3 linked regions of the Drosophila melanogaster genome follow. The protein of the gene in region 2 interacts with the protein of the main gene of each other region in a pairwise test. Each region holds a gene or a part of one and is shown on either strand. Other genes may lie near its edges.

Region 1 (4,842 bases), on a different chromosome or scaffold from region 2:
AGCCAGAGTCAAAGCCAGGGAGAGAAACAGCATGTATCAACTTATGTATTGCAAGAGTGGGTGGTGCACTGCCGAGGGAGAGGCACGGATGGCCGAAGTGGGTATCAAGGCGGTTGGAACACCCGAAGGCATATTCGAAAACCGGTTAACAGCTGGCAGCCAACTGACGAACGAGAAATACATCACCGAATGGGCAAATCTCAAAGACTTTACAAGTTACAGATATTAAGGCGTATGGGTCGGGTTAATATAAATATCTGCATGCACAAAAAGAGTTACCAGAAGCAAAATTTTTTTTTGCAGAATTGGAGACCAGGCTTACCACTCAAGCCCGATAATTTATTGCCTTCTTCCACTCATTGCGTTTGTAAGCATGGGCAAATCCCTACATCAGTTGCCAGTTCTTGTAACCGCGTCTCGACGGCAGAATCGACCGCCTTTAGCCAGAGTTATGACCCCGAAAGCTGTAAATTAACCTTTGAGGCCGCGCACATTTAAAAGGAGTTCAAGAACATAAACCAGCGTCCGCAATGTATAATCCGGAGCCAATCAACTTCCAAACTCGCGGTCAACCTTCGGACAGACTGAATCCCAGCTTACGAAATGAGAAGAGTTGAACGGTAAGAAGGCACGGTAAGAACGGCTGATAGACACAAAAACCGCAAGCGACGCAGTCAAAATAATAATGAGCCCGACATTTAAAATGGTTTATGAGACAGCCCCTTCTGCGGCTCCTCGAAAGCACAAGACTTGGCCCAGCCGCAGCCTCATCAGCAGCGTTGTCAGCCGCAGAATTGGCGATTCTTCGATTTTTCTGGGTCAAGCACCACGCGAAAGCAGAAAGAGCTAAAGACTTGGCCCAAGAAATGTGTGGTAGAGGTAGAGTTCAAAACGTGCCTTGGCCGTACTATTCAGACATGCAGTGCCTTCCCACCCTCTTATTCTCCCTGATCGAGACCGTCTCTGTTTCGTTGTCGAAACAATTTCCGGCGGCTGCACCGAGAAAAATATAACGTGTAACGATGATCGAACAATAAAGACAAGCGAATCTATACAGAGTCAATTCGGAAAGCTTTAAGTTTTCTAGAACCGAACATAACACATGTTTAATTAAAGCCTTTATGGCGTCCTTTTTGCGCTTTCAGAGCTCGGTAGAGTTGAATGTCAATGTAATGAGCCAGCCAAGTTCGGGTCATAAAGCCTCTGCCACATGAAAGTAGTTCAAGTACTCAACGGCGCCGTTACATTTCACTGCTTATGAATTGGGAGTCGCCCGGCCAGACAGTCCGCCAGACGACACTGACTTCCCGATGTGTTAATAATTTTGTTTTGATTTCAGGGATTCGAAAAGCCTACTTTGACTCTGTGGAAGGGGATAAGAAAATATAGCGCTTGAATTGGGCCTCTTGGATCTTTAAATTTAAAGGACAAAGGAATATTAAATCACTTAAAAAATGGTAATTTTTACAGCCCCTATATTGTTGTCCTTAAATACAAATGAAATGAAAGCATATGGTTTATACGATTCGCCCAGTTTTCACGATGTTCCTTTTGAAATCACATCAAGTTATGGGATGGACATCATGGACATCAATTATGGGAACATTTTGTTTTTAAGGAAATGAGATCATCTTACCATTTTAAAATACCTAAAAAATTATGGGAACATTTTGTTTTTAAGGAAAGGAGATTATCTTACCATTTAAAAATAACTAAAAGTATTCCAATTGTCCCTTTCTCAGTCTATCAAGATTTTAATGTATTTCCGTTGCTGTGTTGATAAGATTTGTTACCCAAAAGCCAGTTGGGATTTCACGTTTTACTCGTTTTGTTCGACTCACATTCTAGTCACATTTTCATAGAGAATTCGTTTAATTTGCGTGCACATTATGCGTATAACATTTCTTGTGCAATATGTACCCGACTGGAAGCCACTTGATGCCAATCGAGGAAATTATTGCACGACAAATATCGGATTTTTCACCTGTGAATTAATAACGGTAAATTACTCATCCAGCGTCGCGGCGGGCGCACTTGTATGGGTTAACGAGCGAGCAAGCAAGTCAACGAATTCACAATAAAATAAACAAAATGCAGACGCGAAAAATCGACGAAACTTGTTGGAGCTGAAAACGCGGAAACTGTTGCAAGCGAATCGAAACCAGAAAAACTTTTCTGCACACTCTGTCCAATCAGAACAAACACTCGAACTCTTCTCTCCCACACACACTACACCAGCACTCACACGCACAAGTTCTGCTCTTGCACTTGCCTCTTTCTACTGCTTTCTTTGAGTCTTGGGTTTTATTTTACACGACTGCGGCGCTCTTGTTGCGTTTTCCTCACCTTTCGCAGAGTTTATTGACATTTTCAGCGTTCGCTTTGTGCGCTGCTTTCTTCGTGCGCAATCTCTTTTTTCTCTCGCCAGTCTGTTCGCTCTTTCTCTCTTTCCCTTTCTTCTCTCCGCTCACAACACTTGCTTTTTTGTTTACAATGGAACGCTCGCACACACACACTGGTAAACGGGTCACTCACACGCACACAGAATAACCTTCAATTTTATCTTATTGCGCGCGCCCCAGTCACTCGTTATTCTTAAACTTTGCCGAAATTAGGATTTGCTTTGGTTCGCTGCTGCAGCTTTAAATATCAATCAATGTCTTTGCAATGCTGGTGTGGTTAGAAATCCACATTCACCTCGACGCCTCTTCCACACACCCATACACGCAGCCACGGACGACCTTTGCGGTGCGAGCGAGACGACCCGCCACAAAAAACTCCACTTCCGCTCTCTCGTTCACCCGTTGTGCTGACGGCGAAAAGGTTTTCGAATTAAGTACATACATATATTCTTATTCACTTATTCACGGATTTAACTACATATGCCACTGTAGGCGCTACCACTCTTTTTCGCTCACAGCATGAACGGTGTTTTGCGCTCGAATCCGATTCCACAACCGCTCTAGCGATCACACGACGCAACACAGTCCCGCCTGCGACGAAGTAGCAAAATGTTTGTTTTGTTAGTGGAGCTCTCGGTCTGTTAGCGAGCGTTGCCACCTTTCTGCGAGCTGTTGCTGCACACTGCCACTTTACGAACACAGATCTGATAGCGGGACAAAATACGTCAAGGCAGCGACGGTGGGTTACTAGTGAATTTGGAACGGTGGTCTTACGACGTAATGGTCTTTTATATTTTCATTATTTTTTAAATTGTCGCTCATTTACCAATAAACCTTTTTACTTTTTCCTGATAGTCCGAAGTCAGATCAAATAGGAAGTTTCACAAAAAATTTTCATCCAGAGAAAATACGCCGACGCTATTCGAGTTTTTTGTATTCGTTAACCGGGAAAGAATAGTTCGAATTCGTTCGCACTTTATCGATAGTAGATTGCTATTATGGAGCCCACTTGTAAAATAATTTAATTCCAGACTGATAAAAGCGATCAACTTTTGTTAGTGGTTTAAGTCTATGATAATACTTAGTTCAAATTGTTTCAAAGTAGTCGATAATTTATAATAACAGTTTTAGATGACCTCTAGGAAATAACTAATTACCCACATTCTTCAAGAAGTGTTTTCAATTTGTTCTATAATTAAATAACAGTTGTATTAATTATGTAAATATTGTTACTCATAATACAAATTAAACAATATAAACACACATAAATAAGAGAATTGGAATATTTTGTCTCAGATTAGATTTTCCACACGGGAAATTTAAATCACCACGTTTGGTAATATCGTATCGTTTTATCCTAAACGAAACACGCTTATTAATACATAAGCTAATTGTTTTTATACCCGTTACTCGTAGAGTAATAGGGTTTACTAGATTCGTTGAAAAGTATGTAATAGGCAGAAGGAAGCGTTTCCGGCCATATTAAGTATATATTCTTGATCAGGATAAATAGCGGAGTCGAACTGGTCATGTCCGTCTGTCCATATGAACGTCGAGATATCAGGAACTATAAAAGCTAGAAAGGTTGAGCATCGACTCGGCTTAATAAGAATATATTTTATATCTGTTAGACATTTTATCGGATGAATTGTAACAGGTATAATAAACGATTTCTTATATATCGTCAGACATGTGTGTATATTTTGAACGAAACAACTTAAATTAGTTTGTAATGTTATTTTATAAATTCCATCCTAATAAATATTACTGGATTTGCAATGAGTTCCTTAGAACATATTAGTACTCGTGTTTCACTAACCATGTCCATCAAGCTGACACTGCTATGAATGGGTATGTGTGATGGGTATCTGGTGGACAAGCTCTGATCTAAATGGTGTTGTCCATCCCAATAGCACTGACTTGTCTGTAGTCTAAACTGTGAAACACTCCTTTATTACTGAATTCTAGATAAATGTACATACATATGTATACTACGGAGTGGTTGCGAAATCAGAGGCAATCAGATATTGAAGCAAGTTCAAGTGACATACAATGGAATTGGTCGTGTATAGCCGCCTATAAAGACATTAATAGACGACCCCAAAGCTCTCATTTAAGCTTAGCTTTAGTTTTCGGTAGATACAACTTATTAGTGTCAGAGATATTGAGCTTTGGTCGGCCACTGCATTTACATTATTTATTGCGTAATATTTAAATTGATAAATTGCGCATATATGCTAATGCTAAGTCTTCAATCCATATGTTATATTGTATTTTCACGCATTTTTAGATGAAGAAAACATTCTTGACTCGGATCGACTACGATCCACATTGGCATATGTTTGCCGTGCATAATATGGGTATTCTCCATTTAAATGTCTTTGGATGTGGTTAGCTAATTGGTTAATTAAGTGAGACCGCGGGCAGAAAATATCGACGA
Region 2 (4,597 bases):
ATCGCAATCGCACCTATTGTAGAACTATCTGTACGCTGTAAACAATCTCCTATAAAGTCGTAATCAAACTATGCAAATGGCTAGAATTCATTTTTTCAGGTCCTAACTATCAGGCAATCATTTCATCATACAATGGTATCATCTACATCATCATCTACATACAATGGTATTTAAAAGTTCTTTAGAGTGCATTATTAACCGAGAAAATATTTCCTAGTTGAAGACTCCTGTCATGCTTTAAGTTTCCCAGGCCGTTTGTTCCTGAGTATTGCACAATAAAAGTCTCACACCCCTTAGGGCCACATAGAGTGTGCAATTGCATCCTTGTGGTAAAACAAAAGATAAAGTCTTGAGTTTTCGAGGGGTCAGCCAACAGACTCCAACTCTATTTGAAATGGCAGCTATTAAACCTAAAATCGTCTTAACAATTACAGACAATAACGATGTGAGGGTGCGAGAAACCCAACTGTGAGCTTAATCCCGGCAAGAACAGGCATCCAGCTCATTGTCGGATTCAAAGGGGTATTCAATTTAGTTTAAAAGTTGAACCCATCCCATGCGGGCCACTCGCAGCCAGACAATGGAGCACTTGGCAATGGCAGAGTCAGTGCCCCAGGGCGATCTCCAGGCGGCAATCTGCCAGGACCAATCCAGCCGTGAACCCGGAATGTCCACAAAAGGCCTCGCTGATAATGAGTTTGGGAAATGCCTGTGTATTGGAATCTCCGCCAGAGTGCATTAAAAGCTGGATAGAAAGTGGAGGCCCTCTGAATGTGCCGCCATTCACCTGAATTGCCGGACACCCGCACTGCAGATATAGTTGCTGCAATTAAAATTACACGGCGCCATCACTTGTAAAAGGGCTGTGCACGGCGGGAATTTGACGCGGTTTTGGATTAAATGGGCAAACAGGAAACAATTAGCATTCCACTTAATTGCAAAATATCTAAAATTTCAATAACTAAAGCCATTTGCCTTCCTATACTGATGGTATAACAATAGACCGACATTAATAGACAATATAAGCTTCGAAAGTTACAATTTGTTAATCATATGTTTCTTATTCAACCGAAATTGTTTTCAGTTTTTATTTGTATTAATCTCTTTTGAACGTAGTTTTCACTCACCTGATAGTCCATTGAGTTGCCATAGCCCATGTGGTTGCAGGAGCAGGAACAGTGCTTGATATGCTGCTCCAGCTCGTCATCGATGACGGTGGTGCTGGTTGTTAGGTGTCCAAGTGCCTCGTGATGGAAGTGGGCATGCTCGAGATCCCAGTGATCCCTCTGGCGAAAGCGAATGTCCTTTCCCTGCTGCTCCAACAGCTCTACAGGATTTGCAGCTTGATGTGGCTGCGGGGATAGATGCTGTTGCGCTTCCCCGGGCCAATCGAATGAGCAGGACTTGAACACACGTCTGCCACCCGTTCCGCCCACCGCTGTGGATTGTGTTTCCCTGGCGGGACTGTTCTGTGGACTGGGGCTAATGGCATTAACTTTGCTGTTATCGCTCTCTTGGGCTGTTAAGCTGCCGACTCGCAGGAGAGCGCCGCGCTCGAAGCTTTTGGCCGCCTGGTGGAAAGCTCCGTACGCAACAGTTTCGTCCTCCTCAACATCGCTGGCATTCTGGTAGCGACGCATTGGCGGGGCGCCACCAGTTGCTCCGGCCACGTTACCGTTACCAATGGCCGCCGCCGTTGGCGTCACAGTTACCGCCGAGCTGGCCGCACTGAGCATGAGGCGGAGTATTTCATTGGTGTCCTTCGACGGCAGCGGCACACTGCAGGAGCCCGTTTCCGCCTCGGAGATTTCCTGTGTTTCCGAGTTCAGCTCATCCGAACCGTTGGGCTCCTCGACTTCGATCTGTTGGTTTTGGCGTGCACGTTGGCCCACTATCGAGGCGGCCGTGGAATTGGCTCCGTACTTCCAGTACGTTTTTCCAGTGCCAGCGATCCTCTGCAGATGACTTCCAGCCGCCTGACGTTTTCGCTCCTGCAGCTGTTGGAGATTTTTAAAGACTTTTCGCACCGGTTGCGTGTGATGCAAGGTGGCACATCTTCTCATGGGCGGCGGCGTATATACCGGGGAAACACTGTAGCTGTGCGAGTGCCGACCGGGCGAAAGTGAGCCACTCGACTTCGCGCCCACTAAGCGGGCTTTCAGTTTACGGCCAAAGCCCAGGCCACTTCCGCCTGCCGTTGCGCTTCCGGTTCGCGAGGTGAGTGAGTGGGCGGACAAGGAGAGGGCGCGACTGAATCGCAGAGCCGCTGATCTCTGCTGCTTGACGGCCATCAGCTGGCACTCGTCGATCGTCGGCAGCTTTAGCAGGTGAGGATGCAGCTGGGCATAAGTTAGTGAAGGCTTCGCACTGGGCACATCCGGTGAGGGATTCGGCAGCGGATCGAAGAGGTTTCTCTGGCTGAGGGCCAGGAACTCGCGCTGCTCCTCCTCCTCCAGCGCCTTCAAAGCACGCAGGTCCCACTCGCCAGAAGACATGGTTCCCTTTAGTCACTCATGGATTGTTAATTCTTTTTCACGAATTTTAGTTGATATTTGAGTAATGACACGCAAATCATCTTTATTTATGTTTCAGTATTAGCACTTATTCTGGTCTATTTACTTTTAATTTGCATATTTATGAAAATAAACACATTTTTGGTGGCCTAAGTATTCAAGTATTCAAGGATATAACATTATAAAGGAGGTACAACTTATATGTACATATAATATATTGAAAGCAAGTAAAATAATGTAAGCTAAGTAATAAATATAATATACAAAAAATAACGTTTCTATTATGTAAGTGAAAGTAAATGATAAGATAGTAGATATAATAATCGGATTCCAAACGCTACCTATTTTTACTCTTTCACTAACAATGTTATGTTTGTTATGCTTTTCCAATATCACGGCGTAAACTAAAACAAATAAATTATAACACGTCAATCCCGCCAATATTCCGTCACATTTTCCGTTGGATAAAACCGCTAACGCTACCCGGTTCAATTCAATTACCGTTGCCACGCGGCGCTGCCAACACACTGGGCTCTTCAGTGCTGCGGTACCGTTACTTTATAACGGCACTGCTAACAGCAGCAGCAACAGTTTCCGCAAGGAGTACCCCCCAGTGGATGGATGCTGTGGATCGTAAGTGACCTGGCCCAACAAAAAAGTATGGCAGTGGGTCGCCATGTTAACAGTATGTAATGTAAAGTCCATGTTAATGCAAAGATATTTTATTGTAATACTTATTTGAAAAAAAGTAACTATAAAATATAAAACAAATATCCATTGGAATCATGTAACAATAAAAAGAATTTAACCTCCAAAGTAGCGTTTTTTTGTTTTAATGCTATGCCTTAACAGACCTTAAAACATTTTTACCAAACAGGGCTTTTCTTATTGAACTCAATAGCATACATTCTTCTTGGTAATCAAAGTTACGCTTGCTCCTGGCCACAAAGCCAAAGTCTATTGTTTTATGATGGTGTTATCCCAACTTGGGGCAAAGAGTTGGCCCAAAGGTGATACCGCAGGTGACGGGGCGGCAATGAAATATGCAAGTGCATTCATTTGGCATCCAAAGCAATTTCGCAGTCAGCAGGACGACGACACATAGCCATTTTTGTTAACCTCATCTCAAAATGTTCACCGACCCCCAAGCCAGCACTCAGAAAAATATAGTGTGATATCTAATATTATGTTTTTAAATTCAATATAAATTATTTAAAAAATCAATGTGCGAATAGCTAGAAAACATGATATATTTTAGTTGTACAGATGAAACGGCCCACGCATTAAAATTTTTTTTGTAGTGTGACCATTTCTTGTAACTTAACATTACAATGCACGGCCACATTTCTGCACACCTGTACCTGGGTACATATGTAAGTACTTGCTCATGGCACACACATACTCTGAAGTGCTCATCCTTCATCCTGATGTATGGCCATCAAGCATCGGATGGGCTGAGTGTCGGAACACGGAGGGGAAGTAAGTATGTGCACCGCTGAATCCCCCGAATCGTGTTAATGAAATTCAAGCTGGGTCAAAAATTTGCATTAGCACATCCGGCATCCATATGCAAATCATATTTCAGATACGAGGACTCACATGATTAACAAAAAGCGGATCGATGGGACGTTCGTAAAAACAAAAATATATATGTAACTTTGTGGATATATATCCATTGCTCCATTAAGTGACTTATTTTAATCTTAGTATGCAGGCAAAGGAATAATTAATTATTATATAATTATATTAATTGCCGTTCTCTTATAATAAATTAAATTTTTTCTATGGCACAACAATTATTTGTTAATAATTACAGGAAATATCTACTAAATAGACGTTTAAATTGGTTTTATTTAAACCTTTCACGTAAATGTGAAGGCGTTGTGGTAATTAAAAATATTTAAATATTAAGAAAAAAACAGAAAAATGTGGTTTCCTATTGTCTTGTAAAGCCAACAAATAATTATTTTGAAACATTGGCTTACTGCAAATTCCCGTGGGAATTTTGCTGTCTAAACAATTTAAAAAGGATTCTTCTTTATTTAAAGCTTAATAACTTGGAAAGAGAACCAAAAGTTGGCCCG
Region 3 (4,872 bases), on a different chromosome or scaffold from region 2:
AATGGTGGGCAAACTTTTTTTATTGGAAATTTTTATTTTAAAGAGGTTGGCTAAGGAAATTGGTTGTATTTTAAATGTGGGCAATCGAAAAAAAATTTTTGTTAAAGGTTTTTTAAAGGGTGGGCAAACGATAAAAACTAATAATAATTGTTGGGCAAACGTTTTTTGTTGATAATATTTGGTTTTAAGAGATGGGCAAACGATTTACTCTCTGATTAGACCGAGGTAAACTTAAAAGCCTTATATTTTCTAAAGTATACATTTTTTCAAAATTCTAAAGGGTGGGCAAACGTGGGCAAACGATGTTATTGCGATTTAAAAAAAAAAAATTTTGAAAAAAGCGAAATTTTTGATTTTCGAAAATTTTCGAACTTTTTCGAAAATTCATATCTCAAAAACTGGACGTGGGCAAAAAAAACTAATTGGTGGGCAAACATGGGCAAAAAATGGGCAAACGATTCCAGCTTTCAAATTTCAAAAATTCGATTTTTCCGACCCCAGCTTCTTTGAGCTATGTCCGTCTTGTTTATGCCAATAATAAATAGATAATTTTGGAGGATTAGCATTGTATTGGGGACTGTGACTGTTGGCCAGATATAACCACTTGGAACGGCACAGTGTGGATTGATTTACACGTCCGGAGCAGCGGAAACACGTATATATGTTGCGAGGCTCTCTAATCAATATCTCGACTAAACTAAATTCTTCGAGTGGCTGTAAGGGTGAAGGAGTGGGCGGGCGGGCACTCAGTTACTCAGTTGGGCAATAAATGATTGTTAAACGCGATAAAAAGATAAAAAATATTTCGACTATTGTTGTTGTTTCTGCGTGTTACACACGGAACAAACACATAGCCATTTGGCTTGTTAGCACCTCGATGACTGTTGTTGGCTGGGCTGGTCTACATTTAATAGCTTGCCCCCGCTTGGGTTCGCCGTTATTTATAGGGTATATTAATATTCTTTATCTTTGGAAATACCTCTTGTAGCAGCGTTTGTGGGTAGGTAGCACCTTCCTGCAGCTACTTGAAAAGATAAAACCTTATTTTTTATGGCCGCCTGATCAGATAAAGCCACCGTGCAGCAGGCAGCCGTGTTCAACACGACTGCGAACGAAATCGGAATCGTACCGACCAGGAGGGGCCGCGGCGATATCATATCCATACACCATATAGCGTACATAAATAGTAGTACACCACCGTTCTAGAGTCCATTTGAAGTACATTTGATGAGGTCAGCAACGCACCCAATCTCCCCGATCCGATCGAAGTGGGCTGCGGCTCCGACTCTGCGCTCTCTTGCCATGGACCTTATCACGATACTCCCTCCGCCGGTGGATACTCCGTGCGTGGCGTGGGTAAACAATCCCGGTGTGCCTCCGGAGGCGGAGGACTCCGGCAGCTACCACACAGGCATAGACAACGCGGCGGCACTCCGGCTCACCGGAGGATTATCACCAGACCTCGATTCTTAGTGGGTTGCTGCTGTTTGTCTTTAGATTTACGACTCTACAGTCAAACTTCACTAACTGGAACATGAATCAGAAACGGACAGATATTACGAATTGGATTATATTACCCTGAATTGGATTAGTAAATCAAATCGGTTATCAAATGATTACAGTTCATTACAAAGTCTTTAGATAACTGTAGGCTGGATAAACCTTAATGCATTTGCATAAACGATTTATAATCTTCCTAATATCGCTGCACTACTTAATTTTAATGGGCGATCCATCAAACGACTAACAATATTATTCGATTGATTACTTTGTATGCTAAAAAAAAGGCAAGTTAGGCTTATGAAATAAAGTGTAAAGTTAATAGGGCGGGTATAGTTGGATTTATGGTAGCGATACTGTAAAGACAGACGTAGTCGTGCTGGGACGCTCGTCTGGAACTCGGAATCGAACTGGCGGTGGAGCTGGGCTGATAACCACCGAATGTGTCATGGAATTTAACACAAAGGTTGATTTATATCTAAGCGTTTGACAAGAGTGATGAACAGACAGGCTGACGGGCGGGCTCCTCGATAAACTGACACCGCTGTCCCAGTGATAAACTGACCGATTTCTGGGGGAATATGCTTGACCAAGTAACCAGCAGTCACTCTTCCCTGGCATTATACAGACTATGTATGTATGTGAAGGGTATGAAATAGCCCAGCGAATAGTCAGACTCTTTTCCGGCTTATTAAAATTCCAAGAAAATATGTCTACAATGTATTTGCAATGCCAAGAGCCAAGCAATTTGTAAGAAACCCGAATCCTTCAGTTACGCACTCAATGTTCCATTAGGATCATCCATATGCATGGCAACGAAAGCTCGGAACATTAAACTTGACCAATTTCTGGAAGACCACTTCCGTGCCCAGTATCAAAATACACATATAAATGCCGCGCTGACAATGTAAGCCACGCTGCATAACTTAGCATTTAAACCGGGGACGCCGGCGATGGGGCCGCAATCTTGTGCTGCCTAATCGGTGTACTCACTGATGGGATGCTTGCAGGGATTGGTAGTGAATATCTCCTGGAAGTAGGGGCTGCAGATAGCCAGCACTATCTTGTGGGCATGGAGGAGCTTTCCATCGCAGGCGAGGGTCACGTCCACCAGGTCGCCGCGGTCGTACAAATTCTGGAAGCCGCTGGCTATGTTGTCCTGGAAGTTCTTCCAGCACAGCTTAAACTCGTCGTCCATCGCGGATGCGGATGCTCGCCGAAAACCAGACTTTTCCAATTCCAATTGGGGAGCGTAATTTATGCGCACAGACTTTTGCGATGATTCTCGTGCGAATCTGTTTTTTATGGCTTTTGTTTATCCGCTTTGCTCGTGATTCGTTCACGGGCCAAAAATCGCAATTCACGTATTCTCGCGCACCTTTATTTTTATTATATCAAGGGTTCGAATTTGATAAACTAGCTACCAACTACTCGATCCGCATTCACGCGCACACGATCTCGAGTCGTTCGCGTCCACGGGCGCATTGATTTTGATTTGGGCTCTAATTAACACAGTGTGATTTAAACATTTTTATCGGAAAGCGTGAAAAGCAGCGACGCTGTTTACGTTCCGGCTGATAATGAACGCACCACCCCCCCGCACTTTGAGGAACAGTGAAATGTTGGTTTTTTAGGCGCCACAGCGAACGGTCTCACTGGCCACTGGTAAACAAACGAAAATGTTTGCTGAACTTTAATTCCAGCTATAAAAATTTGATTAACAATCAAAACTGTTATCACAAAGAAAAACGTTAGAGAGGAATGAAATTCTGGGATTTTATACAGAAATAATAATTCTAAAGAGATTATAAATCCTGCAAATATATATTTTTGTAAAATGTATGTTAACTACTAATTTGTTAAAAATGTTCGCAATTACTACGTAAATTGCTTGAATTGTCAAATGCTTCTAAGCGTTTTTGAAATCTGGCCCACAAGAGCGGAATTTTCAATCGATAGCCTTTTCGATAAACGATATCATAACGACAATTGAATATTTAGCGCCAATTAGAGAGCATTGAAAACGTTTTCCCCTGATAAGAGCTTATCGCAATTGGTTTGTTGGTCGCTTCGTTGCGGTTATATCCGACCGGCATTGTCCGCTTTTATCACAGTTCTACGGTTCTTTGCACGATGCTAATACGGCCGATGGGGAACTACACTGTTGATAGCAGACCTACCCATGGTGTCATAAATAACCCACTTTACATTTTAAACAAAAAGAGAATAAAAGTAACAGCAGGGCTTATCAATTAGCCATGAGTCGTTTGTACGCCTCAGGTGCACACATACGCACCCAGTCAATTGGCCACCGATTTGATTTGCCCGATTTAGTGCTCAAAGAACTTTCAGCAAATTAGCCCACTCGTCCCGAGAATCAGTAAAGAGTATACCATAATGGGTTGTTGTTTTGGTAAGTGATTTGCAGCTATCTTCAGAAGGCAATAACAGCGACTAATAATAGTTGTGTACTTGCAGGCAAAAGTAAATCAGTCGATTTGCCCGCGGTTCCGCCGGCTCCAGCCAAACAACGCTCCACTCTGCCAGAATTCCCGATTTCTGGATCGGTGACTAGCACGGCTCCTGCAGGATCTGGATATGGATCTGGAGGAGCCACCAATGCGGCCCTCGAGGATGACTAGACGTGGTTAAAGGAACAGAAAAAACGTTCACGTCCAGGGAAAACTGTAAATTTGCCAAATGGCAGATTGGATTATGAGTCATTCCGTGCCGAGATGTGGTTTTTTCAAAGTTGTGCACCCTTTGTAGTTAGTATTGTAGTAAAATACGTTGTTTATTGTTGGAGAGTATAAAATTGTTGGTAAATTAAATCATAACTTTAATCTCTTTGAATAAGTTGCTGTTCTGTTTTTTTTCCTGTTTCGCCAGTTTATATTTTAGCGCGCCAAGTGTCGCCCTATACAACACTGAAACAAGGGCGGTATTTTTCGGTATTTTAAAAAGGGTCATACCATTCTCTGCCAGCACGTGTGTGCGGCTGTTTTTGTGTTTAACTTAAATTTTAAACGATTTATGCTGTAAATAGGCAAATATAATTTATAATATTATTATTAAAGCAAAATGGCCATTCAACCCAATCGAAGAAAGAGAAGGCACGAGGAGACAACTGCTGAGCAAGAGGATGAAGGTGAAGTGGAGGTGCCCAAAAAACTGGCCAAGGAGTCCGACACACCGAAGAAAAAGAAAAAGAAGGATAAAACTAAGGAATCATTCGATGAATCCACGCTGGAAAGCACTGAAACCGATCCTGCTGACTCCACTCCATCAAAGAAGAAGTCTAAAAAGACAAAGACATCCGACACAAGTGTAGAACAACAGGTGGAAGTGGAGATGGCTGAGGATGAAATAAGT

The links.
Region 1: the proteins of CG44837 (region 2) and Hr39 interact in a two-hybrid assay, tested with the Drosophila melanogaster proteins (one large-scale study listed by BioGRID).
Region 3: the proteins of CG44837 (region 2) and CG34376 interact in a two-hybrid assay, tested with the Drosophila melanogaster proteins (one large-scale study listed by BioGRID).

Annotation. Positions count from the first base shown.
Region 1 is NT_033779.5:21,235,423-21,240,264, reverse strand, and holds the start of Hr39 (hormone receptor-like in 39), read right to left. Parts: upstream 3,016-4,842; 5' UTR 2,861-3,015; exon of another isoform or gene 2,845-2,860; intron 1,985-2,844; 5' UTR 1,700-1,984; intron 1-1,699.
Region 2 is NT_037436.4:11,935,846-11,940,442, forward strand, and holds the start of CG44837 (uncharacterized protein), read right to left. Parts: upstream 3,028-4,597; 5' UTR 2,855-3,027; intron 2,663-2,854; 5' UTR 2,496-2,662; coding exon 1,128-2,495; intron 75-1,127; exon of another isoform or gene 1-74.
Region 3 is NT_033777.3:22,446,242-22,451,113, reverse strand, and holds the start of CG34376 (uncharacterized protein), read right to left. Parts: upstream 3,016-4,872; 5' UTR 2,699-3,015; coding exon 2,494-2,698; intron 1-2,493. Other genes in the region: CG34288 (uncharacterized protein), read left to right, coding at 3,898-3,913, 3,979-4,142; CG12499 (uncharacterized protein), read left to right, coding at 4,582-4,872.